Linked DNA regions of Pelodiscus sinensis. The protein of the gene in region 1 purifies or fractionates together with the protein of each later gene. This does not show direct contact. Links are inferred from orthologs where the notes say so. Each region holds a gene or a part of one and is shown on either strand. Other genes may lie near its edges.

What was found.
Region 2: the proteins of EDC4 (region 1) and XRN1 purify together in Homo sapiens (co-immunoprecipitation; 4 studies listed by BioGRID and IntAct, with this or other methods). This does not show direct contact. The link is inferred for Pelodiscus sinensis from reciprocal best matches to the Homo sapiens genes EDC4 and XRN1.

The regions. Positions count from the first base shown.
Region 1 is NC_134722.1:46,918,873-46,933,901, reverse strand, and holds the start of EDC4 (enhancer of mRNA-decapping protein 4), read right to left. Parts: upstream 6,214-15,029; 5' UTR 6,134-6,213; coding exon 6,058-6,133; intron 1-6,057. UniProt on the Homo sapiens protein: In the process of mRNA degradation, seems to play a role in mRNA decapping. Component of a complex containing DCP2 and DCP1A which functions in decapping of ARE-containing mRNAs. Promotes complex formation between DCP1A and DCP2.
Region 2 is NC_134720.1:21,385,902-21,401,012, reverse strand, and holds the start of XRN1 (5'-3' exoribonuclease 1), read left to right. Parts: upstream 1-9,226; 5' UTR 9,227-9,473; coding exon 9,474-9,548; intron 9,549-15,111. Other genes in the region: serine/threonine-protein kinase ATR, read left to right, coding at 396-501, 4,303-4,476. UniProt on the Homo sapiens protein: Major 5'-3' exoribonuclease involved in mRNA decay. Required for the 5'-3'-processing of the G4 tetraplex-containing DNA and RNA substrates. The kinetic of hydrolysis is faster for G4 RNA tetraplex than for G4 DNA tetraplex and monomeric RNA tetraplex.

The DNA.
Region 1 (15,029 bases):
GAGACGAGACAGCACTGCTGTCCTGGAGGCCTCTCCCAAAGACCAGGCGGCAGCTTCCGGGAAGAGCCCCTCACAAAGCGTCCAATTGGCCGAAGGACTGAGATTGGACAGGGCTGACAGAGCAAGAGGAAGGAACGACAATCAATGGAGCTGTGAGAGCCTGAGAGCCCATCACCACAAAGGCAAAGGGGAGACAGTAACTTGTAACTAGCCCTGGGGAAAACCCAAGTACAAAGCTAGGACAGGACAGCTCTTCCCGGCAGTAGAGATCCCCTTCCCAGCGCTGACCTAGCCCATCGCTGGAGCTCCTCAGACCGCTATGAGGGGAAGGAATCTCTCAAGCAGCGACGCTTCCTGCTCCCCTTCCCGCAAGTTCGCCTCCGCCCTGATGAGGATCGAAAAGCGTCTGGAGGCCCAAGCAATAACACTAGCCCATTCCATCCTGGTCCGTCTAGTTCTTTAAACTCCCGTTACTCTCTGCTGCACAGGCAATGCCTCCAGCGCCGAGACTAGGCATGGGAACGGGCAACTGATTACCCGGTAAGCATCCCCCTTAAAGGCCACGGGTCGGAAGCAGCCGGGCCGCAGCAGCCTTCACCTGCAGGCCGCTCCAGCCCGACCGTGGGGGCGCCCCCACTTACCCCCATTTAATCAGTCAACCAGTGAAACTTAACGTTGAACGGGTGAACTAATTCAACGGGATTTGACCTCCCTAATCGAGACCGGCTGCAACCATGTGACTGCCACCGTTTGCCACCTCCACCTCGTTAAGACGGGCCCAGTGGTTACTCGCCCTCCAAGTTCCACACAACTTCCCAATTCTGCGCCGGCTTTGGCTCCCCGCACTGGGCTGGGAGGCCACCGCCCTCCCCCTCGGGACAGAGTGCAAGGAAGCCTGCGGGTGTGGAAAGCCCGGCCACCTAGCACCCGTTCCGGTAGCTACAGGGCGAGCTGCCTTTGGCAGGAGGGTGGGGAAGACTTGCCTTGCTCAGGCTACAGGAGGATCCCTAGAGAAGAGCAGCCGGGCGGATGTAGCTCTGCACCCGTGAGCGACCTGTGGGAGTGCAAAGCTGCCCTTTCTCCACTCCCTCCCAGGAGTGCGAAGAAGGAAAGGGCAGAGGTCAGCGTGGCAAAGGAATCGTTCCGGGCCACGGAGCAGCCAATTCGAACATGCAAGGGTTCCTCACAACCCATTACTCAGGAAGCAATTCTGACCAGCAACTTCTAGTCCAGCAGCCGGCATTGAGATGTAGAAGAGCTTCGGGAAAGAGCAACAAGGGAGAGGAAAGGGGGTGTGAGAAGGTATGGAGACCCTCAGAGATCAGATAGACAAGCACAGCCCATGAACAAAGATCTGGTGGACTCCCACCAGAAGCTGCCAAGTCCCCTAAGCTACAAGAAGCGGTTGTTTAAACGCAGGGTACGTCTAGCCTAGGAACACTTGAGGGGCGTCAGAATAGCAGGATCCTACACTGGCCAAGCATCCCTAACGTGGACACAGCTCCCCAGTAAAATTGTGCTACGCACTGGGGCTGGAAAACTACTCAGAGGAAGGAAACAACCCATCTCCTCACAAGAGCCAGTAACTGCGTCTCCATGAGGGGCTCCTGCCAGCATAGCTGTCCAGTTAAGGATCACACTTCTACGCTGGTCTGTAGGGCAGAGCTGGGCCCTGTCTGTTCCTTTCCAAGCATGAGTCCATTCTAGACCGGCAACATCCGTGATCCGGCAGGATTTTAGCCAGATGTCTACTTAGCATGGGTGTGGCCAAGATTCCCCACAGTCAAATAAAGTTTGTTTACAGCCACCGGTCCTGGCTCGCAGGGTTCTGGGCTGTTATTTAGCTCGAATTTACCCTTAAATGTCTTCCCCTGCTTGCTGGGCTCCGAGAAGCGTTGGCAACGCTGCTAGACCATACTGACCTCCCATGGTTCAGCAAACTCTCTAGTTCGGCACCGGTCAGGTCCTGAAGGTGTCGGACTAGAAACATTCAACCTATATTAGAAGAGGTAAAAAAGCCTCACCCTGGCCAGTGGCACAGAACACATGGAAGCAACGCTTCCCCAGAGAAAAGAAACTGATCACTCAACACAACCCCCAGCAGGGACGTAGGAACCTAACAGGCAGGGGCAGATTTCACAGAGGGATTATTTGCTTCCCCCTTTAAGGAGAAAATGAGACTTGTGGCAGGACCAGCTTTCCTATCTGGATGAGAGGGAGTTAAGAGACTTGGATACCTAGAGAGAGAGAGTAGCCAGCTCAGACAACCCAGCTGAGAACCTGAGGTTAGAAACGGGTGACATCTGAGCTGTTGATGGAGCAGTGCCGGTCTATGCTGATACTGCCCAGAAAACAATCTATGGAGACAGCTGCGAGCGATTGCTTTTGGATCGGAAGAGCAAACACTCCCCGTCCCAGAACACGGGACGATCTTCAGTCAAATGGCAGCTCTAATGCAGAGTTTCTTTAGGTTACGAATCCAGCCAAATAATTAGAGTACAGGCAGTCCCCGACTTACGTCGGATCCGCACTTACGAACAGGGCTTTCTCGCCCCGGAGCTCGCAGGCAGCGGGACCGCCCAGAGCGCAGCGGTCCCGCCACCTCGACCTCCGGGGCGAGAAAAGCTGCTCCGGGTGCCCCTGGTCTGCTGGGGACCGTCTCCAGCAGACCAGGGACACCTGGAGCAAAGCCGGGGAGGCGGAGGGGTCCTGCGCCTCTGAGGCTTTGCTCTGGCAAAGCCTCAGAGGCGCAGCACCCCGCCACCGCTGCGGCTTTGCTCCCCGTCTCCCTGGTCTGCTGGGGGGGGGGGGGGGCACAGCTAGTGCCCCCCCCCAGCAGACCAGGCTTTTGTTGTGGACCCTGGGGTAGAGCAGCTGGGGTGCTGCCGGGTTGGTCCTGCAGGGACCTACCTGGCAGCCCAGCTGTTCTGTCCCAGGCTCAAGATTCAGCCGCTGTTGAAACTGATCAGTGGCTGATTCCAGGAAGCTGGGGGCAGAGCAATTCTGCCTCCAGCTTCCTGTAGTCAGCCCCTGGTCAGTTTCAGCAGCAGCGGCTGAATCTGGAGCCAGTTCCGACTTACATACAAATTCAACTTAAGAACAAACCTATAGTCCCTATCTTGTACGTAACCTGGGGACTGCCTGTAGTAAGAAAAACTCTCAAACAACTGGAACAGCGGGGTGAGGAGGAAAAACAAATAAGCTAGTGAAGTCCGTTAAGAAGCTCAAGCCAACCTTCATCTGACCTCTACAGTCAGAGCCCTGCAAATCTGCAACTATCCACGGCTCACCTTTGAGGATACAGACGTGGATACAAATTTTGAATCCATACAAGGCTCTACCGATAGTCCCTTGCTCACCCTTCCTCTCCCGACAACCCCCACCTGCCCTCTTACTACAGCAAAGAAATAGGGATGTAATAGTGCTGTTGATTAACTGATTAACTATAGACTACACGCATCCCCCACCCCCCGCCAGTAAATTTTTTAGCAGGCTGGCCAGCAGCCGGCTCATTCCTCCCTTGCAACGGGTCTGGGACCTACGCCTGCTGCGGCTCTGCATTTAAAGTGTACTAGGAGCCAGGTGGGCAGCAGACCCATTCAGTTCCGGCTTGTGCTGAGCTCAGCTCCCTCCTGGACAGGGGCCAGTGCCATCCTGTGCTGCTGCCTCTGTGTCAGAGGCAGCAGCTCGGGGCGACAGGCAGCTGGTCCGTGAGGGGAGCTGGTTTTTAGACTGGCTTCCCTTGAGGACCAGCTCCCGCCTGGCACCCCGCGCCGCTGCCTCTGATACAGAGGCAGCAGTATAGAGTGGCAGGGGGCTCTTCAGGAGTGGGACCAGAGTGCACTGGCTGTCAGCCCCGCCCCCGGATACTACAGAATAGTCCAGTAGCTGATAAGAATTCATGAGGTTACTTGACTATTCAATTAACCGATAGTTACCATCCCTACTCCTACAGCCCACAGGTGGAGATTAATAAGCATCCTTTGGCTCATACCAGGAAAGCTGAAACAGAAGGCCTCCCTGTACAAACCAGGAGGGCAGTTGTTTCCAGATTACTTGGACAATCGGAAGCTTTTGCACGTCAGGGACACTAATGGTCAGCTCTACACCACTAAACAGAAGCGTTGTACAGAGAGCGAATCCAGCAGGGTTGACTGTGCAGTCAGCCCACCCCCACGTGCCTACTACCATCTTCCTAAAATGGTGCGGGAATTAGATGAGCACATCAGACGACGCCCGCAGTCGCTCGAAGGCCCTAGCTGGCAGCTGACTATTAGAAAACAGAAGCCGATACAACCCTTTGCCAAACCAGCGCTCTTCACTTACATACCCAACCAGAGACTGAGGAGAGAACGTAGCTGGAGAGGCTAGAAACCTGATGAGATTACGCCGGATCAGGCGTTTGGGAACCGTCCCTCGCTGATTTTAACATTCACAGGATGCAGAGTCACTCGCATGGGCAGCCACATCTGCACCTGCACAACGCAAAGCTATCAAAGAGCCACATTGGGACCGCGAGGAGCTCCGCTCCGACAGGGCTCCGACGTGAGCGTCTCAGCTGCACAAAGGAAGCTTCACTGGGCCTCCCACACCCCATGGCAAGCGCAACACACACACACGCTTCGCCTCGCTGCGGCCCACCCCAGCAGGTGAACAGGGGTCCCGGGGCTGCAGGGAGGCAGACTGAGGGCAACCTTGATTTCAGTCTGGCGCCAAGGCCCACAGAAACCCTGGCTCTGTATGGATCAAGACAGCACCCAATATGCTGGGATGGAGTCAGAGTCTAAGCACACGGTGCCCAGCCCAGGAGTGGAGCAGCGCAGGCCAGGAATCCAAGGGTGCTCCTGTCCCAGACGCCACGATACCGAGTACTACCCAGATGTTGGAACTGTTTCCCAGAGAGGCGTGTGGCTGCCGTAGCATGGCTAGGCAGAGTTTAGCTGGAAATGGCTGGGGCTTTGGAGGTGCAGCAGGTGCAGATGTACAGTTAAGATCTTATTAATTATTGTGATCTCATTTGTATTACTGTAGCACCTAGAAGCCTTCACTGCATGCATCAGGATCCCTCACTGTGGTAGGCACAGAACGACGAAACAACCCCCGCCCCGAGGAGCTTACAAATGCCATATAAAATGAGAGAGAACAGCGGTATAATACAGACGGGGGAGGGGAGGGGGAGGAGGTACAAGGAAAACCATGAGACAAGCAAGGCTCTCTGCACTCCAGCAGCCTTGCAGTCACCAAGTTCCCTGCTGAGAGTCAAGGAGAGATTTGACGGCAGGATAATGAGGTCGCTGAATGGGGTGTTCAAAGGGAGCACCCCCCCCCCCCCGGTGGTGATGTGGGGAGAAGCACAAAGGTGTCTGAAAATGTAACCTGCCCGCGATGGGAACGGGCCTGGCAGGACTGGACGGTGGCGGGGGGGGGCTGGGAGGGTGGGGGGGGGGCTGTCAGGAGTGGACAGTGGCGGGGGGGGGGGCTGGCAGAACTGGACGGTGGCGGGGGGGGGGGCTGGGAGGGTGGGGGGGGGCTGTCAGGAGTGGACAGTGGCGGGGGGGGGGCTGGCAGAACTGGACGGTGGCGGAGGGGGGCTGGGAGGGTGGGGGGGGCCTGTCAGGAGTGGACAGTGGCGGGGGGGGGGGCTGGCAGAACTGGACGGTGGCGGAGGGGGGCTGGGAGGGTGGGGGGGGGCCTGTCAGGAGTGGACAGTGGCGGGGGGGGGGGGCTGGCAGAACTGGACGGTGGCGGGGGGGGGGGCTGGGAGGGGGCCTGTCAGGAGTGGACAGTGGCGGGGGGGGGGGCTGGCAGAACTGGACGGTGTTGGGGGGGGGCCGGGCAGGACTGGGGGGGACACGCGGGGCTGGCTAGGCGGAAGATCCAGGGTCTCCCCGCACGAGGCCGAGCCCGAGCCCGGGGGGGGGCGGTCCCGGCGCGCTCCCGTCTCCCAGAGGGGAGCGAGCTCCCGCCTCGGCCCCTGCGGCAGCCCCGCCCCCGGCGCGCGCGCACGGAGGCGGGGAGGGAGGGGGCGCGGCGGGGCGGGGCCGGGCGCGCCCTCACCCGCCGGCCGGTCCAGCTTGAGGATGTCCCGCAGGTGCTGGGTCGCGTCCTCGATGTCGATGCTGGCGGAGGCCATGGGCCCGCTTCCCGCTCTGCCGCCCCGCTCCCGAGCCCGGCCCGCCGACTCCACTTCCGCTTCCGGTCCGGCCGCCGCCGGCCCCCGCGGAAACCAGCCCCGGGCAGCCGCGTTCCGGCCGAGCCAGGGCCGGGGGCGAGACCCCCCCCCCCCCGAGCGCCATGTGGGAGGGGCGCGGCCCGCAGGTGCTGGGCGGGCTGTTGCTATGGGGCAGGGGGTATTGTTTGGGGTGGGGTGTTGTCAGACGGGGGCTGTTGCTATGGAGTGGGGTGTTGTCAGACGGGGGCTGTTGCTATGGAGTGGGGTGTTGTCAGACGGGGGGCTGTTGCTACGGGGCAGGGGGTATTGTTTGGGGTGGGGTGTTGTCAGACGGGGGCTGTTGCTATGGGGTGGGGTGTTGTCAGACGGGGGCTGTTGCTATGGAGTGGGGTGTTGTCAGACGGGGGGCTGTTGCTACGGGGCAGGGGGTATTGTTTGGGGTGGGGTGTTGTCAGACGGGGGCTGTTGCTACGGGGCAGGGGGTATTGTTTGGGGTGGGGTGTTGTCAGACGGGGGCTGTTGCTATGGGGTAGGGGTATTGTTATGGGGTGGGGTGTTGTCAGACGGGGGCTGTTGCTACGGGGCAGGGGTATTGATATGGTGGGTGAGGGACTGTTATGGGGTGGGGGTCCCATTAATGGGGGGCTGTTCTGGGGGTGCCATTACATAGGGCAGGGTAGGGGGCTGTTACGGGTGCAGACGACCTTGGGAGAAGAGGGGTTGACGGTATTGTTGCGGGGTGAAGCTATTGGGAGTCGGGGGGACAAGCTCTTGCCTCGTTTCCCTCCTGTGCAGGTGCCGTGCTGGGGCTCCTACCGCACTGCTCCTGGGAGAGATGTTGCATCCAGGCTCCCACCTGGAGGCAGCTGCTGTACTGCCCCCGTGGAGACGTGATCTGCAGCTCACTCGTGTTAATCCAAATCTCTGCACTGGGCCTTGCACTGCGAAAGCAGCACCTGCCTGGACGGGCCTTGGCCCATCCAGCTCAGGGGTCTTTCAAGACCAGCAGCGGCAGCACCTAAGCCCCTTGGGGAAATTCTGGTACCATGTCAAAGAGAATGTTGGGTCCTTTCCTTGCTTCTGAAGGGCCACTCATGCATCTAGGGCACATGGGGACCTAGGCCATCTGACTCAGGCTGGGGCCATAAGATTGCAGCGTAGCCCCACAGGCTTCAAGTGGAGTCTGCACTCTGGTACCCTCCCCACCCCCCGGGGACTCAAAAGCCGGGCTCCAACCCAAACCCAACTGTCCACATTGCTGTGCAACAGCCCTACAGCACAAAACCCTGAGTCTGCTGCCCCGGGCCAGCCACAGCTCTTAGTGCACTGCAGACATACGCACAGGATTTGGCTGAACTAGGGAGAGAAGTCCCAGGGTTTCCTCCCTGGTTTCTACCTTGACTTAACCATGAGAATTTCTCCGCTGCAGTCCCATCTTGTCTTGATTTCGCTGGTCAGGGAGCAACTAGTTCAGTGATTTTCAAACTTTTTTTCTCATGACCCAGTCGAAGAAAATTATTGATGCCCGCAACTCAACTGTGGAGAGTAAGAGGGGGCTCTGGCTTTGGGGTATTGGGCTGGGGCAGGAGGGGCTTACCTTGAGCGGCTCCCGGTCAGCGGTGCAGCAGGGGTGCTAAGTCAGCTTCCTGCCTCTCCTGGCTCTGAATCATCAACTCACAGGGTTGAAAGAGAAAAATCAAGCCCAGTCCCTTGCCCAAAGCAGGACCAACCCCAACTAAATCATCCCAGCCAGGGCTCTGTCAAGCTGGGACAACCTCTAGGGATGGAGATTCCACCCCCTCCCTAGGGAACCCATCCCAGCGCTTCTCCACCCTCCTAGGGAAATAGTTTTTCCTAATATCCAACCTAGACCTCTCCCACTGCAACTTGAGCCCATTGCTCCTTGTTCTGCCATCTGCCCCCACTGAGAACAGCCTCTCTCCATCCCCTTTAGAATCCCCCTTCAGGGAGCCGAAGGCTACCAAATCCCCCCTCACTCTCTGCTTCTGCAGACTAAACAAGCCCAGAACCCTCAGCCTCGCCTCGTAGCCCCCCTACTTATATTGGTTGCTCTCCGCTGGACTCTCCCCAATGTGTCCACATCCTTTATGTAATGGGGGGCCCAGAACTAGATGCAATACTCCAGTTGTGGCCTCACCAGTGCTGAATAAAGGGGAATAATCACTTGTCTAGATCTGCTGGCAATGCTCCTCCTAATGCAGCCTAATATGCCATTAGCCTTCTTGGCTATAAGGGTACACTATTGACTCATATCCAGCTTCTCATCCACTGCAATCCCCAGGTCCTTTTCTGCCGAACTGCTACTTAGCCAGTCGGTCCCCAGCCTGTAACTATGCTTGGGATTCTTCCGTCCCAAGTGCAGGACTTCGCACTTGTCCTTGTTGAACCTCATCAGATTTCTTTTGACCAAATCCTTCACTTTGTCTCGGTCACTCTGGACCCTGTCCCAGCCCTCCAATGTATCTACCTCTCCCCTTAGCTTAGGGTCATCTGCAAACTTGCTGACGGTGTGATCCATCCCCTCATCCAGGTTATTAATAAAGATGTTGAACAAAACCAGCCCTAGAATGGATCCTTGGGGCACTCTGCTAGAAACCGACTTCCAGCCAGACATCAAGTCAGCATTCTCTCCACCTTACAGTCCATTTATCCAATCCAGACTTCCTTAACTTGCTGGCAAGAATATTGTGGGAGACTGTTTTAAAAGCTTTGCTAAAGTCGAGGTCTATCACATCCACTGACTTCCCCCTGTCCATAGAGCCAGGTACCTTGTCATAGAATGCAATCAGATTGGTCAGGTATGACTTGGTCTTGGTGAATCCATGCTGACTATTCCCGGTCACTTTCCCCTCTTCCAAGTGCTTCAACATGGATTCTTTGAGAATCCCTTCCATGATTTTTCCAGGGATTGACATGAGGCTGACCGGGCAGTCTGTAGTTCCCTGGATTGTCCTTCTTCCCTTTTTAAAAGATGGGCACCACATATGCCTTTTTCCAAGCACCCGGGACCTCCTTTGATCGCCACAAGTCCTTGCAGAGCCTTTGGAAACATCTGCCAACTTCCTCAGCACCCATGGATGCATTAAATCCAGCCCCCTGGATTTGTGTATGTCTAGCTTTTCTAAATAGTTATCCTGTTCTTTTTCCACTGAGGGCTGCCCATCTCCTTCCTATACTATGTTGCCTAGTACAGTAGTCTGGGCGCTGACCTGGTATGTACTAGGGATGCTAAATTTCGATTAATTAACTAATCAAAGTGTCAATAGGATTTCCATTGACTATTTGATTAGTCGAGAACTGCCACGTTCCGCCTTTGAAACGTCCCCCGCGGGGGCTCTTGTTCATTTCAAAGTGGAAGCACTGGACAGAGCCTGGGGCTGAGGCTCCGTAACAGGGCCGGCCCCGGAGGCACCACTACCATGGCCATGTGGTCTGGAGCTATCCCCAGAGGCTGGAGACACCCGGCCATGGCAGCACCTCCAGGGCCGGCCCCCGACCGCCTGGCCACAGTAGCGGCATCTCCAGGGCTGGCACAATGGCCGTGGTAGTAGCACCTCTGGGGCCAGTCCCAGACTGTGGCACCTCTGGAGTGGCCTGGGGCCACGTGGCTGCAGTGCCTCTGGGGCTGGCCCCAAGCCACATGGCCATGGTAGCAGTGCCTCTGGGGCGGCCTCTGTCTGTGGTGCCTCCAGGACCTGCCCCGGGCTGCAGCACCTCTGGGGCAGCCTGTGCCCATTGGCCCCAGAGGCTGGCCCCAGGCTGTGTGCCTTGGGGCTATCCCTGGATCGCATGGCGGCAGCCATTGTTGCAAGGGGGCACAAAGCCAGGTAAGGTTCTTCCTCATGTCCAGACCCCCCACCCCAATCCCATCACTTCCCCATCCCAAGATCTAGAACCCCTCCCCAAGATCTAGAACCCCCAACTTGCTCCAATCCCCTCCCTTGTCCCTGCTCCTTCCTCCTGGCCACACACCCTACTCCCAGCCTGCTTCTGCACCCTTGTTCCCACCCAGATCCTGCACCCCATTCCTACCTCACTCGCTGGCAGCCCTGTCTCACGCACTGTACTCCTCATTCTTGTCCCTATCCCAGAGCCTAAGGAGGTCCATAAAATCCACTAACTCCAGAACAGTAAATCTGGTCTATGGGAAGCCCAGATTTTTTGGAGGGGAGGTCAGTAACCCCAGGCTCAAAAAGGGTTCCTCACCTCTCCCATAACGAAAACATTGAAACCTGTTGTGTTGGACATAACATTTTACTTTATTTAAAACAAAGTTTGATTAACAGGAGAAAGTTAAAAACACTGGTAGCACTTTATAGACTAATGAAATATGTAGATGGGATCATGAGCTTTTGTGGGCACAGCCCACTTCTTCAGATGACCAGAGTTATGAATTGGGGATATGAAAACTCCAAATAAATAGGAGAGGGGAAGGGGAGAGGAGAGGAGAGGAGAGAGAAAGAAAAAGGGAGGGGAGTGGGAAACAGAGCATCATTAAAAATCTGGAGAATGGGTACTTAAACCAAAGCAGATAAAAAAAAAAAATCAAAGTCAATAGACAGATTCCTAAGACAGGAAGGATACCACTCAGGGAGCTGTTAGCACCTTCAGTGGTTATTAAGTAGGTAATCTATTTCATAATTTCAATTAAACTGTTCTCCCTAGCTGCAGCTGGTTCAGAAAATAAGGTCACCGCACCCAGCAGGGTAATTCTCAACTTCACTCCTTCCGCCTGCGGGCCCTCCCCTTCCGGGGCAGCCCACAGCCACTTCCGAAATTTGTGAAGTGGCCCCTCTTCCAGAATTATTGCCCCTGCCCCTACAAAAGCTACATTCAGACGCAGGCAGGGTCTCAGCTGCATGCAGGCAGCACTTGCATCACTTTCCAGCTGGGCAACAGAGAAGGCATCAACAGCGCAAGGCTTCCTTTCCTGCTGCCGGCTGGGTCACGGATACCCGAGTGCGTGTTCTTCCTTTGGACTCCCAGCTGGGGGATCTGGCGACTGAGTAAACGGCCTGAAATTCATGACAAGAGCCTGGTGTGGAGGGGTTTGATGTGCCCACGCGGGAGAAAGCCTTTTATTTACACTGGGTTTCTCAGCGCCCATTGCAACAGGTGGGGGGATGGGGGAATAAAGCCGGGGTCTCCAACTCCCCATCCCAGCTGGAGTGATTGTGCAATCTGGCTCAGCCCTCCCAGGGGACCTGTCTTCTCAGCCCTGAGCCCCACCCCTTCCTGCCATTGTCCCACCCTCTTCCCCCAACCTGCAGCTCCTGCCCCCCAGGGAAGTTGCAGGGGAGGGGAGGCATGATTGCTGCCACTGCGTGACGCTGGGTCCCTCCCAAAGCCACATGCTCTGGGGACAGGGTGCTATGGAGGGGGGAGAGGAGTGACAGGCTTGGGGGCTGGCAACAGGCCCACTAGGAGTCCTCGTGTTGCGCAATCGCACAGGCCATGAGTTTGAGCCCCCCCCCGCAGGTAAAGGGTGGCAGTAGACTGACACTTACGGATTGTGGCGCAGAGATGTACAAACAAGGAGAAACGGAGGTGACGTGTTTGGGGGGACCTGCCGATGGCACGTTGAGAGATCCGAGCTGCTTTTTAACGCTGCGGTGAATCCCAAGACTTTGATCTTCCCCTTGCGCGTGATCCTTAGAGATGCTGTTTCACCCCAACGAGAAGCTTTCCTTGGGTCACAGTCAAATCCAGGCAGTTCCTCCCCTGCCTGGGACGGGACCCCACAGCGCCCTTCGTCCAGCAGCAGGGTTATAGCCACATTCCAGGCTTGGGCCTTGCACTTCGGCTGCACCGTCACACGGAATACACCCTCCCTTCGGGCCACTCTTTCGGGACCAACAGGAGATGGGATGCGAGTCCATGGCAGCAGAACCGTCAAATGATCCGATTCAAGACACCCCGCCCCCACGCATCCACCCCATCAGTGTGAAGGCAGCCTGTGAAAGCTGGCAGCTGAGAGGAATAACGGAACGGCCTGTCATGCACTGCTGGCTGAAAGCAGCTGGCTGTCACCACTCGGATTTAGGAGATGTCACCTAATACACTTAGGTAGGCCCGAGATCTTTGTTCAAATCCCCTGCAAAGCGCCATAGCCCTATAAACTCAGCTTGTGAGGACAGGACAGACATTCAGGCCCGCCCCCCTTGCGAGCAGGGCACTGGTTTAGTCCAAGTCCCCGAGGCCGGTTTCCTGCTTAGCAGCCAAGTGGGTGGGATGAGCTATTTCACACCCAAGGGCAGGAGTGCTTTAATTAAGCTGAGCTATTCTGTACTCTTCCCCCCCCCCCTTCCAACTTCCTAATTTTTCCATTATTAGGACCCAGCCAGCCCTGATCTAGTCTGCACGTGCTTGGCTTGAGCCCAAGCAAACAATGTTTGTGAAAAATCTTTATTGATTAACACACTGGTCACAGGTACAATCAGAACAAGCCATCATCGTACAGTACAGTTACACTGAATGTATCATCTTATTCCACACAGCTGACTTGGAGAGCGCCGTAGCCTTGCGGGTCAGTTTAAGACACGTTGTCGTCTGTAAATACACAGAAGTCCTGCCTTGAAGCACTGGGTAAACTATCATTCAACCACCGAAGCAGGGCTGTTTTTTCCATTTTCTGCTGCTAAACCCGCTAACGGCTATGGCACATTTTCATATTTATCTCCAGTGGACGGAGACCCAGAGGTAGTCCAAGAAGGGTCACATCTGGAGCAAAGGTAGAGTATCAAGAGGTAAACAGGTCACCCTATTTCAGTGGGAAGCAGCACAACAGTCTTCCAGCCCATTCCCGAGACAGCAGCTTTGGCATGACAGGGCGAGGCAGTCACAGCCGACTGCTTTTGCAGACTGATGTTTTCAAGTCCATGGTGCAGGCTAGCTTAGAAATTCTCCCCTTCCAATTTGAGTTAGGGTTAGAATCTATCATTTGCTGTTAAGACAATGCCAGAGAGCTATCCGAGGTAGCTACAACTGCACTACATATTTGCCACCAAGGGACAGGGTTGCAAGACTCTAAAGCCAGTTACGCCAGGAGCGGAGGCAGATGTTCAAAACACATCTTAGTGTAAATAGAAGCCAGTTATTCCCTTCTTAGGAGCAAGGAACATGTTTTTCCCTTTTTCCATCCTCTAGTCAACATGCGATCATTCATAAGGATGAGGTGGGTTGTCTGCAAGCATCATATTTGGGAATTTTCTTAAGGCATCTTTTTGATATGGCTATTAACACTGCTAATATTAAGGCCAACATGATGTTCCAACCAAGCATGGTACCCTGAGAGGATCCCAAAAGTCTCACTCAGGGCAGGCAGAACAAGACACTCTCTGGAATGAAAAACTTGGGTTTGTAGAATGCATCCTCCCCACCTAGAATTGTTTAGAGGGGGCAGCAACGTCCCCTCTCCTCCCTCCAAGCAGTCCCCCTACATGCATAGGGGGCTGTTTCAGAAGTCACTCCAACACTTGCTATGAGATGCAGGCAGCAGCACAAGAGCATCTGTGCAACAGTTGACATTGGAATAGCACCGAGTGGAACTGGCCTGCATTTTTTTGCCAGATAGGGACCGAGAGCTGATCGACCTGGGGGAAGATACTTATTGCTACGTCAGAAGTTAAGCAGCTGATTGGAAGCATCACTCCTTGAGCCTAGTACTTAGGTAGCTCGCTTGCAAGAGCAAGTTACAGAGTTGGATGCAGAGACCAAGGGATGTCTGGGTTTAGAGGCAGGATCTTTCAGCAGAACAGATTTGATTAGGGAGAGTTAACTCCGTTACAGCCAGCCTTTTAATTCAAGAATGGACTGGAAGAAGATAGATCTAGGGTCTAATAGCAGAAAAGAGGGATTCCCATCCTGAGATCAAAAAGCAATAGTTTGATGACAGTAGTCCCTGACCATGAAGGCCCTTTTGTACAAAAGGGACTTTCAGCTAAGGACTAATCCTTCTCCTATGGAATTAACAGCACATTGTGATGCTCTTCCTACGGCAGAGAAGCAGTAATAGGAGTAGCATGCTGTTAATTTCCTATTCCTTGTTACCCATTAACAATTGAGGTGACCAGCAAGTTAGAGCGCTAAATAGTATGAGGAATTAAGACACTGCAGTGAGCATGCCAGCGAGAGCGCCTGTTTTCAGGAGAGAACTCCTCCCATTTAGGAACCAAAATGAGTGGCCATATTTTCAAGAGAGCTTGGAAGCCTGTCCGTGTCTCAATGGGAACACCTGAGTTCTGCGCACTTGTGAAAATCTGGCCCCTACAGGCTAGCCAGTAGTAAGCAATGTGACTGATGCAATCTAGTTAACGTGGCACCTTGTTTCCTATGAAAATCTAGAAGGACTCAACATGTACAGGGATCCCTTCCCCACAGAAATGCTGCCACCTCTGGGATGGCTGTGGGCAGCTGAAGGCATAGCAACAAGAACACTACATGCTGGTTTACAACAAAGTTTGAAGCCCATACCCAATTCAAACCACAGGGGAAGTTCAGAGGCTGAATGGAGCTAGAGTGGGAATTTAGAGACAAGCACACAACCCATAGCTCTACAGGCCATACAGATAGCTGGGGTTACATGCCCCAGAGGAAACTCAGCTGGCATTTTTAGCTGGAAGGACTCAGTGATGGTTGACACACTAGCAAGTATTATGACAGAAGGTAACTTCATACATATTGCCGTGATTGTCAACTGGGTGCATCCCCTCCTCTGTGTTTCTGCATAAAATGAAGACTAAGAAAAAGCTTAAACCACTCAAGTCTAATTTAATACAGGAAAATATGAGCCACAAGCCTCCACATTTGGCTGCCGAAGGAAGGAGCAAGGAAGAGA
Region 2 (15,111 bases), on another chromosome or scaffold:
TATTATAACTGCAAAGACTGCTGATGGAGGATACAAAATCAAATTCAAAAGAATAGGTGTGTTCTTTATGACTGAAGTCATGGACAAAGCTAACCTGCAAGAAATTACCAGCAGTGATACTGTACAGAGAACTGTAAAGGAAATAGCCTCTTTAAAATGAATTTAGTATCTTCATAATTGTTTTCCCTTCCTTTTTGGAAATGAAGACATTACAGGTTATTAATTATTAATCTTAGGCATTAATGTTTTATTTTAGCAAACAAAAACATGTCTTGGATTAAAAAACAATTAAGTTAGTAGTCAAAAGACACATTTTAATTTTTCGGGGTCAAAAGAAGTTTATAAGTAATCCTTTTCCCACACAATCAACATTTTTTTTGTTTGTATGTTTTTAGTGTCTTGAAGACTTTTATCCATGATCCTCTTGTAGAGTGGAGTAAACCAGTGAAAGGTAATACAAAAGCACAGGTGAATGAAACTGGGGAAGTTGTCAATGAAAAGGTTAGTTGCAAGACATTTGATCTACTCTCAAACTAACATTTAATTATTTTATATTTCACAGTATCAGTTGTTTTGTTCTAATTTATGCAAGACTTTACTTTCCTTGTATTTTTCTTCTAAAGGTATTCTAGTTGGTTTTTTATTAATTATCTCTTTGCTGTTGTTTAATCCTTCAAATATGAGACTGGTATTTCAATAAAAGCCTTCATGAGATCTACTGTATCTTTTTAGTATCACTCTCTAAGTCTAGACTATACTGGTAAAATTAGGACGCATAATTACAGTTCCACCTATAATAGAAGCTGTAGTGAAGAAAAGACTCATTAATTTTTACCATTATGATTTTGGGGGTAAGTGGCGAGGACCATAACTTGGAAGCTCCTATTTAAATTATCCAAATTTAGATCATGAATTCTAGCTAGCATCCCCATGAGAGACAGCAATTTTCAAGACAATCTATATAAACACATGAATTTTACAGTACTTACAAGAGTGGACTTTTAAACAGAAAATACTGCTTAACCCCATAACTATTGTAGAGCTTTCACAATAGATGACACAGTAATGATACCACTTGAGTTGTGTCTGTACTATAGATTCTACCGTTTCCATCATCAGGGTATCTTAACCTGCTAGAACAGAGTCCCCTCAAAAGTCTGGAATGGAACCTAAGATACAGGTTGAACCTCTCTAGTCTGTGGTTTGACATAGTTTTAGTTAGCCAGTTGTCCACTTACAATGGGGTGTGGCCACGTTTCCTGCAGTCTCATAAAGTTTGTTTACAGCCACAGCACAGACAGGGATAGTAGAATTTTGTCTTACCAGGCAGTACTCAACTGCCTTAACTATGAGACCAGCCTTTCTCTTGTAATCACCTTATTCATTCACTACATATCTTCTGACTTCTGCAACAAAGGAGGCAGGGCCATACAGAGAAGCCTCTTTCATTTCACAACCCTGACTGATCCTCAGAAAAGGTCTGTCATATACAGTAAATGAGCTCCTGTGGAAAAGGATCCATTGATCCTTGATGTGCAGCATCAAGCATATAAATCAAGTCTGTATCATAGTGGGGTTGAGTTAGTATAAGGGAGCTAAATTAAACTTATACAGTCAATCTTCATTCTGGCATTTCCTAACTCTTAAAGAGTTTGACTTTGGGATCTTAATGTTCTTTTAGTACAGTTTTTTGTATGTAATACAATATATGAGATCGATAAATGAGTGATCTTATTATAGAATCATAGAATACTAGGACTGGAAGGGACCTCGAGAGGTCATCGAGTCCAGTCCCCTGCCATCATGGCAGGACCCAGTACTGTCTATCTACATCATCCCCGATAAACATTTATCTAACCTACTCTTAAATATCTCCAGAGATGGAGATTCCACAGGCACTCTAGGCAGCTTATTCCAGTGTTTAACCACCCTGACAGTTAGGACGTTTTTCCTAATGTCTAACCTAAACCTCCCTTGTTGCAGTTTAAGCCCATTGTTTCTTGTTCTATCCACAGAGAAGAACAAGTTTTCTCCCTCCTCCTTGTGATACCCTTTTAGATACCTGAAAACTGCTACCATGTCCCCTCTCAATCTTCTCTTTTCCAAACTAAACAAGTCCTATTCTTTCAGCCTTCCTTCATAGGTCATGTTCTCTAGACCTTTAATCGTTCTTGTTGCTCTTCTCTGGACCTTGTCCAGTTTCTCCACATCTTTCTTGAAATGTGGCACCCAGAACTGGACACAGTACTCCAACTGAGGCCTAATCAATGCAGAGTAGAGCGGAAGAATGACTTCTCGTGTCTTGCTCAGAACACACCTGTTAGTTCATCCCAGAATCATGTTTGCTTTTTTTCCAACAGTGTCACACTGTTGACTCATATTTAGCTTGTGGTCCACTATAACCCCTAGATCCCTTTCTGCCATACTCCTTCCTAGACAATTTGCTTCCCATTCTGTATGTGTGAAACGGATTGTTCCTTCCTAAGTCGAGCACTTTGCATTTGTCCTTATTAAACTTCATCCTGTTTACCTCAGACCATTTCTCCAGATCATTTTGAATTATGACCCTATCCTCCAAAGCAGTTGCAACCCCTCCAAGCTTGGTATCATCTGCAAACTTAATAAGCATACTCTCTTTGCCAATATCTAAATGGTTGATGAAGATATTGAACAGAACCAGTCCCAAAACAGACCCTTGCGGAACCCCACTTGTTACTCCTTTCCAGAAGGTTTGTGAACTGTTAATAACTATTCTCTGGGAACAGTTATCCAGCCAGTTATACACCCACCTTACAGTAGTCCCATCTAAGTTGTATTTGCCTAGTTTATTGATAAGAAGATCATACAAGACGATATCAAATGCGTTACTAAAATCTAGGTATACCACGTCCACCAGTTTTCCCTTATCCACAAGACTTGTTATCCTATCAAAGAAAGGTATCAGATTGGTTTGACATGATTTGTTCTTTACAAATCCATGCTGGCTGTTCCCTATCACCTTATTATCTTCCAAGTGTTTGCAGATGATTTCCTTAATTACTTGCTTAATTATCTTTCCTGTCACAGAAGTTAAATTGACTGGTCTGTAGTTTCCTGGGTTGTTTTTATTTCCTTTTTATAGATGGACACTATATTTCCCCTTTTCCAATCTTCTGGAATCTCTCCTGTCTTCCATGATTTTCCAAAGATGCTAGCTAAAGGCTCAGATACTTCCTCTATCAGCTCCTTAAGTATTCTAGGATGCATTTCATAAGGCCCTGGTGACTTGCAGACATGTAACTTTTCTAAGTGATTTTTAACTTGTTCTTTTTTTATTTTATCTTCTAAACCTACCCCTTTCCCACTAGCATTCACTATGTCAGGCATTCCTTCACCAGACTTGTCGGTGAAGATGGAAACAAAGAAGTCATTAAGCATCTCTGCCATTTCTAAGTTTCCTGTTACTGTTTCCCTCTCCTCACTGAGCAATGGGCCTACCCTGTCCTTGGTCTTCCTCTTGCTTATAATATATTTATAGAATGTCTTCTTGTTTCCCTTTATGCCTGAGAATATAGAGCTCCTTTCATTGTAAGTTGAGAATCAGTTCTCATTGGTTGATGATGTAACTGATGATATTCAAGGACAAGACCTCATGATAATAGTTGTGTATTTTGCCTAATTTCATGGTTGAGTATTAGTCAAAATATTGTTTTTGGCTCAAGTCTGGTCCATACTTCCAGTCTTTTTTGTTTTGTTTTTTTACATTCAGCGGAAGACATTCAGCGGAAAATGTTTACAGTCCTGCTTGCGTTGTAACAGTCAACCTACCTCCTCCCCACCATCACCATTTTTAAGTTAAAAAAACAAAAAAAAAATGCTTTTCTGAACATAAGAAGGTTGAATATTTTCTGGAACATGCTCTTTTGATTAGTTGTCTCGTGGGCTCTTTGTTACTGAGCCACATGTATATACGGTGATAATGAAATGATTTTTATAGAATGAAACACATTTCATTGCTATCTGCTTCAAGAGGATGTGCAATAATTCATTCGATCTTTAAGATCTAGTTGTAAAGTTAATGTAAAGGCTATAGCTTGTCCAAAAAGCAAGCAGTTCTTGAGAATGAAGAAAGTGACAAAAGGAAATCCAACTGTTTTCAGAAAAAGTTCATAGATATTTGTATATTAAATCTGTTTATGTGGGATCTGAAATACAAGCTATAATTGGCCAAAAGTTTATTTGGAAGAACAGGAAATGTTTCTATTACAGATATGACAAATACATAGCTATATGAATTGTAAGGTTTTTTTCTCTTGTTTATAGGCAAAGACTCATGTCCTTGACATAGAACAGCGGCTTCAGGGTGTGATTAAGACTAGGAACCGGGTAAAAGGATTGCCCTTGTCTATTGAAGGGCACGTTCATTACCTCATTCAAGAAGCAAATGATGAGAACCTGCTCTGTCAGATGTACCTGGGCTGGGCTCCGTACATGTGAAATACTGCCTTCACAACTTGTGCTTCTGTAATTTTTTTTAACCAAAAAGTTATTGAATTCTTTCTTAGTCACTGAAGAATTTTCTAAAATTACCACTTTTGTTGATTCTGATTTTGTGTATGTCTAAATTGCAATTTAATGTGCAGCCTATGTAATATATACTGTAAAGTTGTTGTACATAGGCGGTGTATGTTGTATACATATATAAATGAATTCTTTGCATTCTGAGTTTGAAGACACATACTTTTATTTGTATTTATACAGTTTTATGTATACAGAATACAATACATGAACTAGTGAACAGAATTGACAGTCGTCTCCCTGATGCAGTTGTGTATTTCCTGTATAATTAACACTCATCTATGATATTTATGAATGTATATGTTCACTTCTGTATCAGAGCAGGGTCTAAATTAGCTTTATAAAATGTTATATATAAGTTTTCTTTTGTAGGAAACCTGAGTTGATATTTTAAAAGATATTGTATATAAAATAAATTTTGTATCCGCATGGTTGAAATGGGATTTGTAACTGTATTCATGTACCTATTTCAGAAGGATTTTCCAAAATGAAAAGCTTTTTTGCAGTCTTCATTCTCACCTAGGTTTCTCTAAAGCAGGGGTCTCCAAACTACGGCCCGCGGGCCGCATCCGGCCCGCGAGGCCCTCTCATCCGGCCCGTGGAGACCTTTTTGTCTGGCCCCGCCTTCTTCCGCGTGCCGGTGTGACGAGGCGACCCCCGCCCGTCCCTGGGGCGCCGCCGAACGGGCCCTTCTTGCCGCGGGGGGGGGGGGGGGCCCTGTCAGGGGTGTGCGGCGTGTACTCACGCCGCGCCGGGGCAGGAGAAGCGGGCCGCTCCGCTGACAAGCGGCCGCGCGGCGGCAAACGGCGCAGGGGGCGGGGGTTAGCACGGGCGGCGTTCCCCCGCCCAGACTGACAGGGCAGCCGGCCAATCAGGGGGCAGGATGGGCGGTGGTGGTAACGCCCGCCCGGCGACGTGCGGGGGAACGTGAACCCCGGCGGGAACTTTAAAAAGGTGACCCCTTCCGCCCGGGGGGGGGGGAAAGGAGTGAGCGGTGGCAAGCAGGAGGGGAGGACAGCGTGCAGAGGAAGGGGAGAGCAGGGGGAAAAGCCCCCCCCCCCCCCCCCTTCCGGGAGAAACAGATTCGCAGGCGAATATTCTGAAGAGGAAACATTAAAAGCAACAATCTCTCTACCATAAGTGGATATATTTGCACACTATATTCAGGTAAGTTTAACTTAAGAAATCATAAGAATTTTTAAAAATTGTTTCGGGTCATTTGCAGCTATTATTGCGACAAAATTAGTTCGCATAATCAGGTTTTTTGAGCGATATTGTGTGCAAGATACTTTCAGTTTCATTATTTATTCATGTTTAATTCACTTTATTTTAGTGCCCAGCGATGGCCGAGAAGAGGAAAAGAAAAATAGACTATGAGTGTCGGCAATTTCAAGAAGAATGGAGTTTGAAATACTTCTTCATCAAATCCGGCGAGAAAGCATTGTGTGTGATTTGCAACGAAACCGTGGCTGTGATGAAAGAATACAACCTGCGCCGTCATCATCAAAGCAAACATCAGGAGAAATATGTACAGTTGAAGGGTAAAGTCCGTGCCGAAAAATTTTCTAAATTACAAAATCAACTCACATCTCAGAGGACATTGTTCAGTAAATCCTCAAATGAAAATGAATCCTTAACTAAGGCCAGTTATAAAGTTGCCTACGTCCTGGCTAAAAGTGGCAAACCCTTTACAGATGGTGAAGTAGTGAAGGAATGTTTGTTGGAAGTGGCTGAGGAACTTTGCCCAGTAAAGTCAAAACAATTTGAAAATGTAGCTTTGGGTGCGAATACCATTGCCCGCCGTGTTGCAGACATGGGTGAAAACATTGTGACTCAAATAGCGAAAAATGCAAGCAAGTTTCGCCATTTTTCAATTGCAATGGATGAATCGCTGGACAGCTGCTCCACCTCTCAACTGCTTGTGTTCATTAGAGGTGTGGATGAAGACATGAACATAACACAAGAGCTGGCTTCCCTACATAGCATGTATGGCACTGTTACCGGAGAGGATATATTCAATGAGTTGAAAAAAACATTTGCTGATTATAACTTGGACTGGACTAACCTCAGTTGCCTGACTGTTGATGGAGGAAAGAACATGAGTGGCATAAAGAAAGGCTTGGTTGGACAAGTGAAGCAGATGTGTAATGAGAAAAACATTATACAACCAATGTTCCTGCACTGTATTATTCACCAGCAAGCTTTGTGTGCTAAATATGTGGACATTAGCAGTGTACTGAATCCTGTGGTGAAGATGGTGAATTTAATAAGGTCACATGGGCTCAACCATAGACAGTTCAGAGACATGTTGAAAGATACAGACACAGAATCGCAAGATTTACCATATTACACAGCAGTAAGATGGCTAAGTTGTGAGAAAGTTCTGAGCAGAGTATTTAAGTTAAGAAAGGAAATAGGTGACTTCCTGGAAAGTAAAGGCAAGCCACAGCCATTACTGTCTGATGAAGAGTGGGTATGGAAATTGGCTTTTGCTGCAGACATAACTAGTCATTTAAATTTTCTGAACCTAAAACGACAAGGAGAGCAAAATCTAGTTTCTGATCTATACACCCACCTAAAGGCCTTCAGATCCAAACTTGTCTTGTTTTTGGAACAAGTACAGGCCAACAACTTGACGCACTTTCAGCAGTGCAAGGTCTTCATGGCTGAAGCAACAGCTGAGTTCCCCACGTCATTTGCATGCGAGATCATCAAAGACCTCCAGCTGCAGTTTCAGCAGCGGTTTTCTGACTTGGATTCAAAGGCAGAAGAAGTGAGATTGTTTCAAAACCCATTTGAAGCAGATGTGGCCAGTTGCCCAGATGAACTGCAGCTGGAAGTCATTGAGTTGCAAGCAAATGACCTCCTTAGGGACAAGTTCAAAATAGAACTGGTGGGTTTTTACCAGTTTTTGCCCAAGGAAGACTTTCCTAATGTCAAAACTTTTGCATCAAGGTACCTTTCAATCTTTGGAACAACATACCTGTGTGAACAAACATTTTCAAGAATGAAATATGTGAAGAACAATTTGAGAACAAACTTGTCCGATGATAATCTCAGGTCACTGTTGATGTTAGGGACAACAAATCTAAAGCCAGAAATGTCTGCTATTTTGGCATCCAGGAAACAATTTCACCATTCACACTAATACAGGTGTTCATGTGTAGTGTATCAATGTGTTATTAAATAATAACTGAATAAAATAATATTAAATAAATAATTAAAAACAACATCCATGTTTTGATTGTTTTTTATTTGGACCTCAAGTGTGTAGTCGGCCCCTGAACTGCTGTTTGATAGTTAATGCGGCCCTCGGGCTGAAAAGTTTGGAGACCCCTGCTCTAAAGTATTGTTCTTGCTGAGAAGGCACCAGGCATTTTAAACTATTGTATCAAACAGTGGCACCTATTTGACCTATTTTAATTCCTCTAGTCCAGGGATGGGAAACCTAAGGCCTGGGGGCCACCTGCGACTACCAGTGGCTACCAGTTTGCCTGCATCTAGCCCTCGGGGCTGGTCCCCCAGCATCGGGGAGCATGTGCTGGCGCACCAGCCCTCCCATCATTTTAGTGTGGGACTAGAGCACACAAAATCTACAAGTCTGGGTCCCACTAGTCTCTGGCATGTGAAGGGAATGTCTTTTTCTCCTCCGTTGGGGACCACGTCAGTGAGGTGGTTTTCGTTTTGCTTTTCACTTGTGTGTAGCCCCTGACTTATGTTTCTGTGGATCAGCAGCTCCCAAATAAAAAAAAAGTTCTCTTCTCCATTTCTGCTCTAGTCTAAACTGCTTAATAAAGCATGGTATGGAGTGTCACCAAGAGGCAGGTTTATAGTACACAAACTCCTCCAACTGAAGACAACAGCATTTCTTGAATTAGTCCACTGAAGTGATTGAGATAATTCATGCCCTTCATTTTCTTCCTTAACCTGGACTTTGTTTTTACATCCCTCCCCTAGTCTAAAAATTCTCAGGATCTTTTTTCAAGAAAGTTCTCATCCTCCACAAAAACACTATTTATAGCCTTCTACTAAAAATCCAAATAGCATAAAATATTATTCCATGACCATTAGTGACTGTGAGCACCATTTGAAAATAATACTCCATCGATATTGTTCTTATTCTCCTCCTCTCCAAAATAATCCCCACCTGGAATTACAAGGTGAATACATAATTTGAATACAAGTAATCAAATGGGCTGTATTTTAATCCCTTAATCTTTGCACATATTTTATCTAATTTAAATGGGGAGTTCTATTATTTGCATATAAATCGCCATGAATGTGTAGGGATGTAGAAAGCCCTTTAAAACCGTGCCTTTACATGGTTACATGTGCTGCGGGCATACTGCAGAGCCCGCTAGCGGAGAGCTGGTTCCTGCCTCGGCCCGTGGCGCGGTGGGCCCAGGGAAGCTGGGTAACCGGTGACCCGTTCATACCCATCTTCCTCCCAGACTCTTACAGCTCATTGTGTCCACAGCAGCGGGGGGACGGTGTCTTGCTACGGGCCCCTAGGAGCCTCGCTCTCTTATGGACCCCACCGCGGGGTCCCTGCTGGCGGAAAGGCTTGGTCCAGCTGCCCCGGGACCGAGCTCCAGACTTCACACGCTGCCGCTGCGACTCCCTGGCCGGGGCGCGTGGGGACAGAGAGGGAAGGTCTGTGCGGCTGGTCCGCGCAGGGCGCCGCTTGCCCGCGGGAGCGCGCTGAGCTGCGTGCGGGGAGGGCTGCCCCCGCCTTAGGCCGGGAGAAGGGGGCGAGGAAGGACGCTCTGTCTCTGCCTCTCTATGGCTGTAGGGCCGCTCTGCGCCGCGCTCTGTGGCGGCTGGGCGGCCTGGCTGTCAGTAGGACGCGCCGGAAGGAAGCCGGCTGAGGGGGAAGGGCTGGTTGGGTCCCGTCGGGCTTCGAGTAGGCGGCGGCCATGGGGGTCCCCAAGTTCTACCGGTGGGTCTCGGAGCGGTATCCCTGCCTCAGCCAGGTGCTGAAGGAGCATCAGGTGAGCGACGCAGGGTCGGGAGGCGGGGGGGTTCGCGCCGTCTGGCCTGGCCGCTCGGGCCGGGGAGAGTGTCCCCCCGCCTCGGCGGGCCCGGCACCGCGAACGGCTCCGGGCTCGGTTCCTCGGGGCTCCGCTGACTTGCCTCGCCCGCGCAAGGCCCCAGGTCGCTCCCGGGGGTTCCCCCCAGCGCCCGGTGCTAGAAAGCGAGCCCCGACTCGGGCCCCCCCGATAAGGCTCCGCTGGCGCAGCTGCTGGGCGGCTGAGGCTGGTGTGGACTTCCCGCATCTGGGCGTCGATCTTTCGTTCCCGGGGCGCGCCGAGGTTTAGTTCAGCCCCTGTTGGTACGTTTGGAAGGCAGCTGTTTTGCTTGACAGTATTACTTGGATGTAGAAGCCAACATATAGGTGGGGTTTTCAGAAGTGCTCACCCCGAGTCTAACTCTGCTTCTCTGTAAGTAACTGATGGTAGGCTAAAAGTAAATATAAAGTAGATGTGTAAATAGTAAATGATTGGAAAGTGGGGAGATGTATTGCTGTAGTCACTGTGTTGTTTACTGAAATAATAAGCTACAGATTTTTTAAGCTAATTATCATTTAGATAGACACAGGTTGAAAATCATAGTTAATGGAGATAGAAATGTAGCCGTATTAGTCTGGTGTAGTTGAAACAAAAAACAGGACTACGTAGCACTTTAAAGACTAACAAGATAGTTTATTAGGTGATGAGCTTTCGTGGGCCAGATCCACTTCCTCAGATCAAATAGTGGAAGAAAATTGTCACAACCATATATACCAAAGGATACAAAAAAAATGAACACATATGAAAAGGACAAATCAAATTTCAGAACAGAAGGTGGATGGGGGGGGGGGGGGGAAGGGAAATGTCTGTGAGCTAATGATATTAGAGGTGATAATCGGGGAAGCTATCTTTGTAATGGGTAAGATCATTAGAGTCTTTGTTTAAACCTAAGTGTAAAGTGTCGAATTTAAGCGTGAATGACAGTTCGGAGGATTCTCTTTGAAGTGTGGTCTGAAAAGGTCTTTGAAGCAGGATGCAGGTAATCAAGTCGTTGAGACAATGTCCTTGCTGGTTGAAATGGCAAGAAACTGTTTTTTCTTTGTGATCCTGTCTAATATCTGTTTTGTGGGTACTGATCCTTTGGCGAAGTGTCTAAGACGTTTGTCCAATGTACATAACAGACGGACACTTTCGGCACATGATAGCATAAATTATATTTCTGGATGCGCAGGAATATGTGTTCTTGATCTTATAACTCACTTGGTTAGGTCCAATGATGGTATCAGCAGAGTGAATATGTGGACAAAGCTGGCAACGGGGTTTGTTGCAAGGGAAGGTACAAGGGTTGGTATTAGTGTGGTATGTCCTGTGGTTGTTGGTAAGAATCATCTTGAGGTTAGGTGCTTGTCTATAGGAGACTATGGGTCTGTCTCCCAGAACCTCTCAGAGTTTAGTATCCTGTTCCAGTATACGCTGTAGTTTATTGATAATGTGTTGGACAGGTTTAAGTTGGGGGCTGTAGGTGATGACAAGTGGTGTTCTACAGTTGGTTTTCTTGGGTCTGTCTTGAAGTAGATGGTTTCTAGGTATTCGTCTGGCTCTTTCAATTTGCTTTTTTTTTTCCAATTTGCTTTTTCAATTTACTGTTTTTTCTTTGTGTCTGAGACGTTTGTCCAACGTACATAGCAGACGGACACTTTCGGCACATGATAGCATTGGACAAACATCTCAGACACTTTGCCAAAGAATCAATGCCCATAAAACAGATATTAGACAGGATCACAAAGAAAAAACAGTTTCCTGCCATTTCAATCAGCAAGGACATTGTCTCAACGACTTGATTACCTGCATCCTGCTTCAAAGGCCTTTTAAGATTACACTTGAAAGAGAATCCTCCGAACTGTCATTCATGCTTAAATTCGACGCTTTACACTTAAGTTTGAATAAAGACTCTAATGATCTTACCCATTACAAAGATAGCTTCCCCGATTATCACCTCTAATATCATTAGCTCACAGACATTTCTCTTCCCTCCCCCCCCATCCGCCTTCTGTTCTGAAATTTGATTTGTCCTTTTCATATGTGTTCATTTTTTTTTGTATCCTTTGGTATATATGGTTGTGACAATTTTCTTCCACTATTTGATCTGAGGAAGTGGGTCTGGCCCACGAAAGCTCATCACCTAATAAACCATCTTGTTAGTCTTTAAAGTGCTACATAGTCCTGTTTTTTGTTATAGTTAATGGAGGGCATTGTTTATCAGTGTCCAACATCTTAGTTTATCCATCTTGTCGAACAAAGATTTCATTTATTTGATAGCATGTAATTTGCACATAACAAGGGAAATCAACTGATCAGTTTCACTTTTATTTCTGTTTTACATTTTCTGTGGCCAGTTTTACTTTCTTGTTCTTAAACACTAAAACAATGTTGCAAAGCTTGGGTTAGGAACATCAGGGATATGTTTAAATCCACATGTATTTTTATATTGTTTCTTTTTAATTTAATAGAAACCTTTGTATTAATACTGTTTCGGAGTTTTTTTTAATTTTTGTTCTATAATATAAAAATGTTCCTAAACTGCCTGATAGTAATCTTTGTAAAGTACTTCTAAATGTTTATTTTTGTCCTATTGTTAAAAACCTGTTTTAGCTGAACACTATGCCACCAGCAAATGCTTGAATTTTACTTTCTGGCCCAGTTAGCTTCAATTAAGAGTTAATTTTAGGCTGGGCATTTACTAGAGAGACTTTATTCGGTGTATATGTGCTAACATACCTCCCTAAGGAGTTTTTCTGCCAGTATAGGAACACTGCCTCCCAAAACAATCTTAACTATGTTGGCAGAAGCACTCTTCTGTTGAGATAGCTGTGACTACACTGTGTTTTTTGCCACCATAACTGTCAGTCAGGATGTGGGTTTTTTATACCCTGACTGATTTAACTGTTTGGGGGTGGGAGCGTGTTGTGGAGCAATGCAGAAAAGGTTAGAGCAGTGGTCTCCAACCTTTACATACCCAAGATCACTTTTTAAATGACAGACCAAGCCAAGATCTACTTCCCTGCCCGTTTCTTGAAGCCCCGCCCCTTTCTATTCTCCTGCTCTCCATCATTTGCTATTCCCAATCCTTATACTGCTGCCTTTTTTTTTTTTCCAATTCTTCTGTAGGAAGAGGTTTTTCCAACGTTTGGCCTGTCTAGACTGGACCAAATGTCAGAAAAAACCCTTCTTTTGGAAGCCCCCTTATTTGTCGTGGAAAGAGGAATATAGGGGTGACCAGAAGAGCATGTTTGCTCTTCCACTAAAAAAAGTGGAAGAACAAACGCATTCCTGGATGCAGGAGAGTTTTTCTGGGATATCTCCAGAATCCTGAAAAACTGCAGTCTAGCCTTACCCTTGCTGGGTTGAGACAGGATGTGTAGGCTCTGGGGTGGGAATGAGGGATTTGGGTGTGGGAAGGGGTGAGAGGTGCAAGCTCTGGGAGGAAATCTGGATGCAGCAGGAGGTGGAGAAGGGGATGCTGGCTCGGGGAGGAGGCTCCAGGCCGGGCAGTGTTGGGGTACTAAGCAAGCCAGATGCTTGTGGAGTGAGGGTGCAGGAATTTGGGTTGAGGTATGTGAGGGGCTCAGGGCAGGAAGTTCCAGTGTATGATAAGCTCAGGTCTAGGGGAAGGGGGAATGCAGGAATGGCTGTGGGCAGATGAAGGCTTGGCCCCAATTGGGGGTTTGTTGGCCAGGCTTCATTTTAAATAAAATACTGTGTCAAACACACAAAGTTTCTGCATTGTCTTTGTTTATGAGATGGGCAGGGAACCTGTCTTGAGTCAGGGGTCACTGACGCACAGAAAAGTCAGTTGGGAGCAGGGGACATGGTACTGGGGAAGGGTGCTAGTGGGTGCTGGGGCAGGGAACAGGGTGCCAGTGGGGGCAGAGTTCTGCAGCTGGGGGCAGGGGCAAGGGAACAGGTTTTTGCAGCAGGGGAGAGGGACAGAGTTCTGTGGCTGAGGGCATGGGAGAGGAAACAGGGTGCCAGGAGGACAGGTTTCTGCAGTAGGGGATAGATTTCTGCAGTGGGGGACAGAGGGCTGGGGGTGACAGGTTTCTGCAGCAGGGGACAGGGTGCCAGTGGTGGGGCAGGTTTCTGCAGAGGGGGGACAGGGGAGAAGGGAATGGGGGGGCAGGAGGGCGGGGGACGAGGTTCTGTGGCAGGGGTCAGGAACAGGGTTTGGGGGGCAGGAACAGGGTTCGGGGACAGGGTGCCAATGGGGTCAGGGAGTCCCCTACACCAGCCTCGGAGGGAAGCCTCCATTGCGCGCTCCCTCCGGGGCCGACCCCGCAGAGGGGGGAAGCCCACGCATGCGACCTCTCGGGGCCAACCCACCCCGCGGAGCAGGGAAGCCTGCACACGCGCTCCTTCTGGGCCTGACTCCCCCCTTCTGCAGAGAAGGGAAAGCCTCCGGGGACTTACCCGGTAAGTTCCCAGAATGCCAGGGATCTGGGGCAAGGAAACAGCTAGCGCATTTCTGGAACCCCTGGAAGTGATGCGCAGCTGTAGGACTTTCCTCCACCCCACTGGAAGCTGCCACTACCTTCATTGTTGCTCGAGGTAGTTAGTGGGGCTTCTTGGGGGTGGGAGGAAATGGGAGGCCCAGAACGCCTCGCGCTCAACTGGTTGATGACCACAGGGTTAGAGGGTGAGAATACAGCCAAATAGCTGCACATCAAAACACTTGTGACTGGTTGATTATTGTGCTCACATGCAGCATCTCTAGTCAGGCAATTTTCATTTAGGTGTCTAAATGTAAATTTAGAAACTTTAAGGCCATTTTCCAAATTGGGCGCCTAACATTATTGGCTATTCAAATAAACATATCATACTTGGGCTGCTATCAAACAGTTTTTTAGTTATGCTTTTTTAGTCACTGCCCTCCCCCTGCTGCCTGTATCAGAAAGAGGCAACAAGGGGGAGGAGGGGAAAGGGATGGGGTATTTCAAAGCCGCACACTACTAGAATGATGTAAACTATTGGGCCAGCTACTCAAATACTGAAGCAACAAGTAACAGGGTTTGTTTTGTTTGAAGTAGGGGGAGGGAGCACTACTGGACAGGGTTATGTTGTTTGTTCTTCTGTTTGCTCTTGCTGAAAAAGTGATAGAAGATAAAGGGCAGTTTGTGTGCAAAACAAAGATTATTATTTATAAATGTAATTAAAGTATGCTTCTTCATATGTAGAAAATGCCCTCTGCTATCCTTCTATATGTTCTGCTTCATGTGAAAAGGTCATGCGGCTCACCCAAGTTTTGGAGCTTTTATAGAGTGCTGTCACTGCAACACACATCCTCTTGTGACTGAAGAGCTGGTGTCCATGTGGATGTGGTGGACTTTGGATATGCAGTTTTACTTGGACCGCAAAATTAGGTCCTTTATTGGAGGGACTAAATACCATTTTAGGAAGCGCATAAAAATAATTACTGAGCACTGTGCATCAGCTGTAGTGTAATACATTGCAGAGCCAGCTGTACAAACAAGACACTAGATATTAGAGA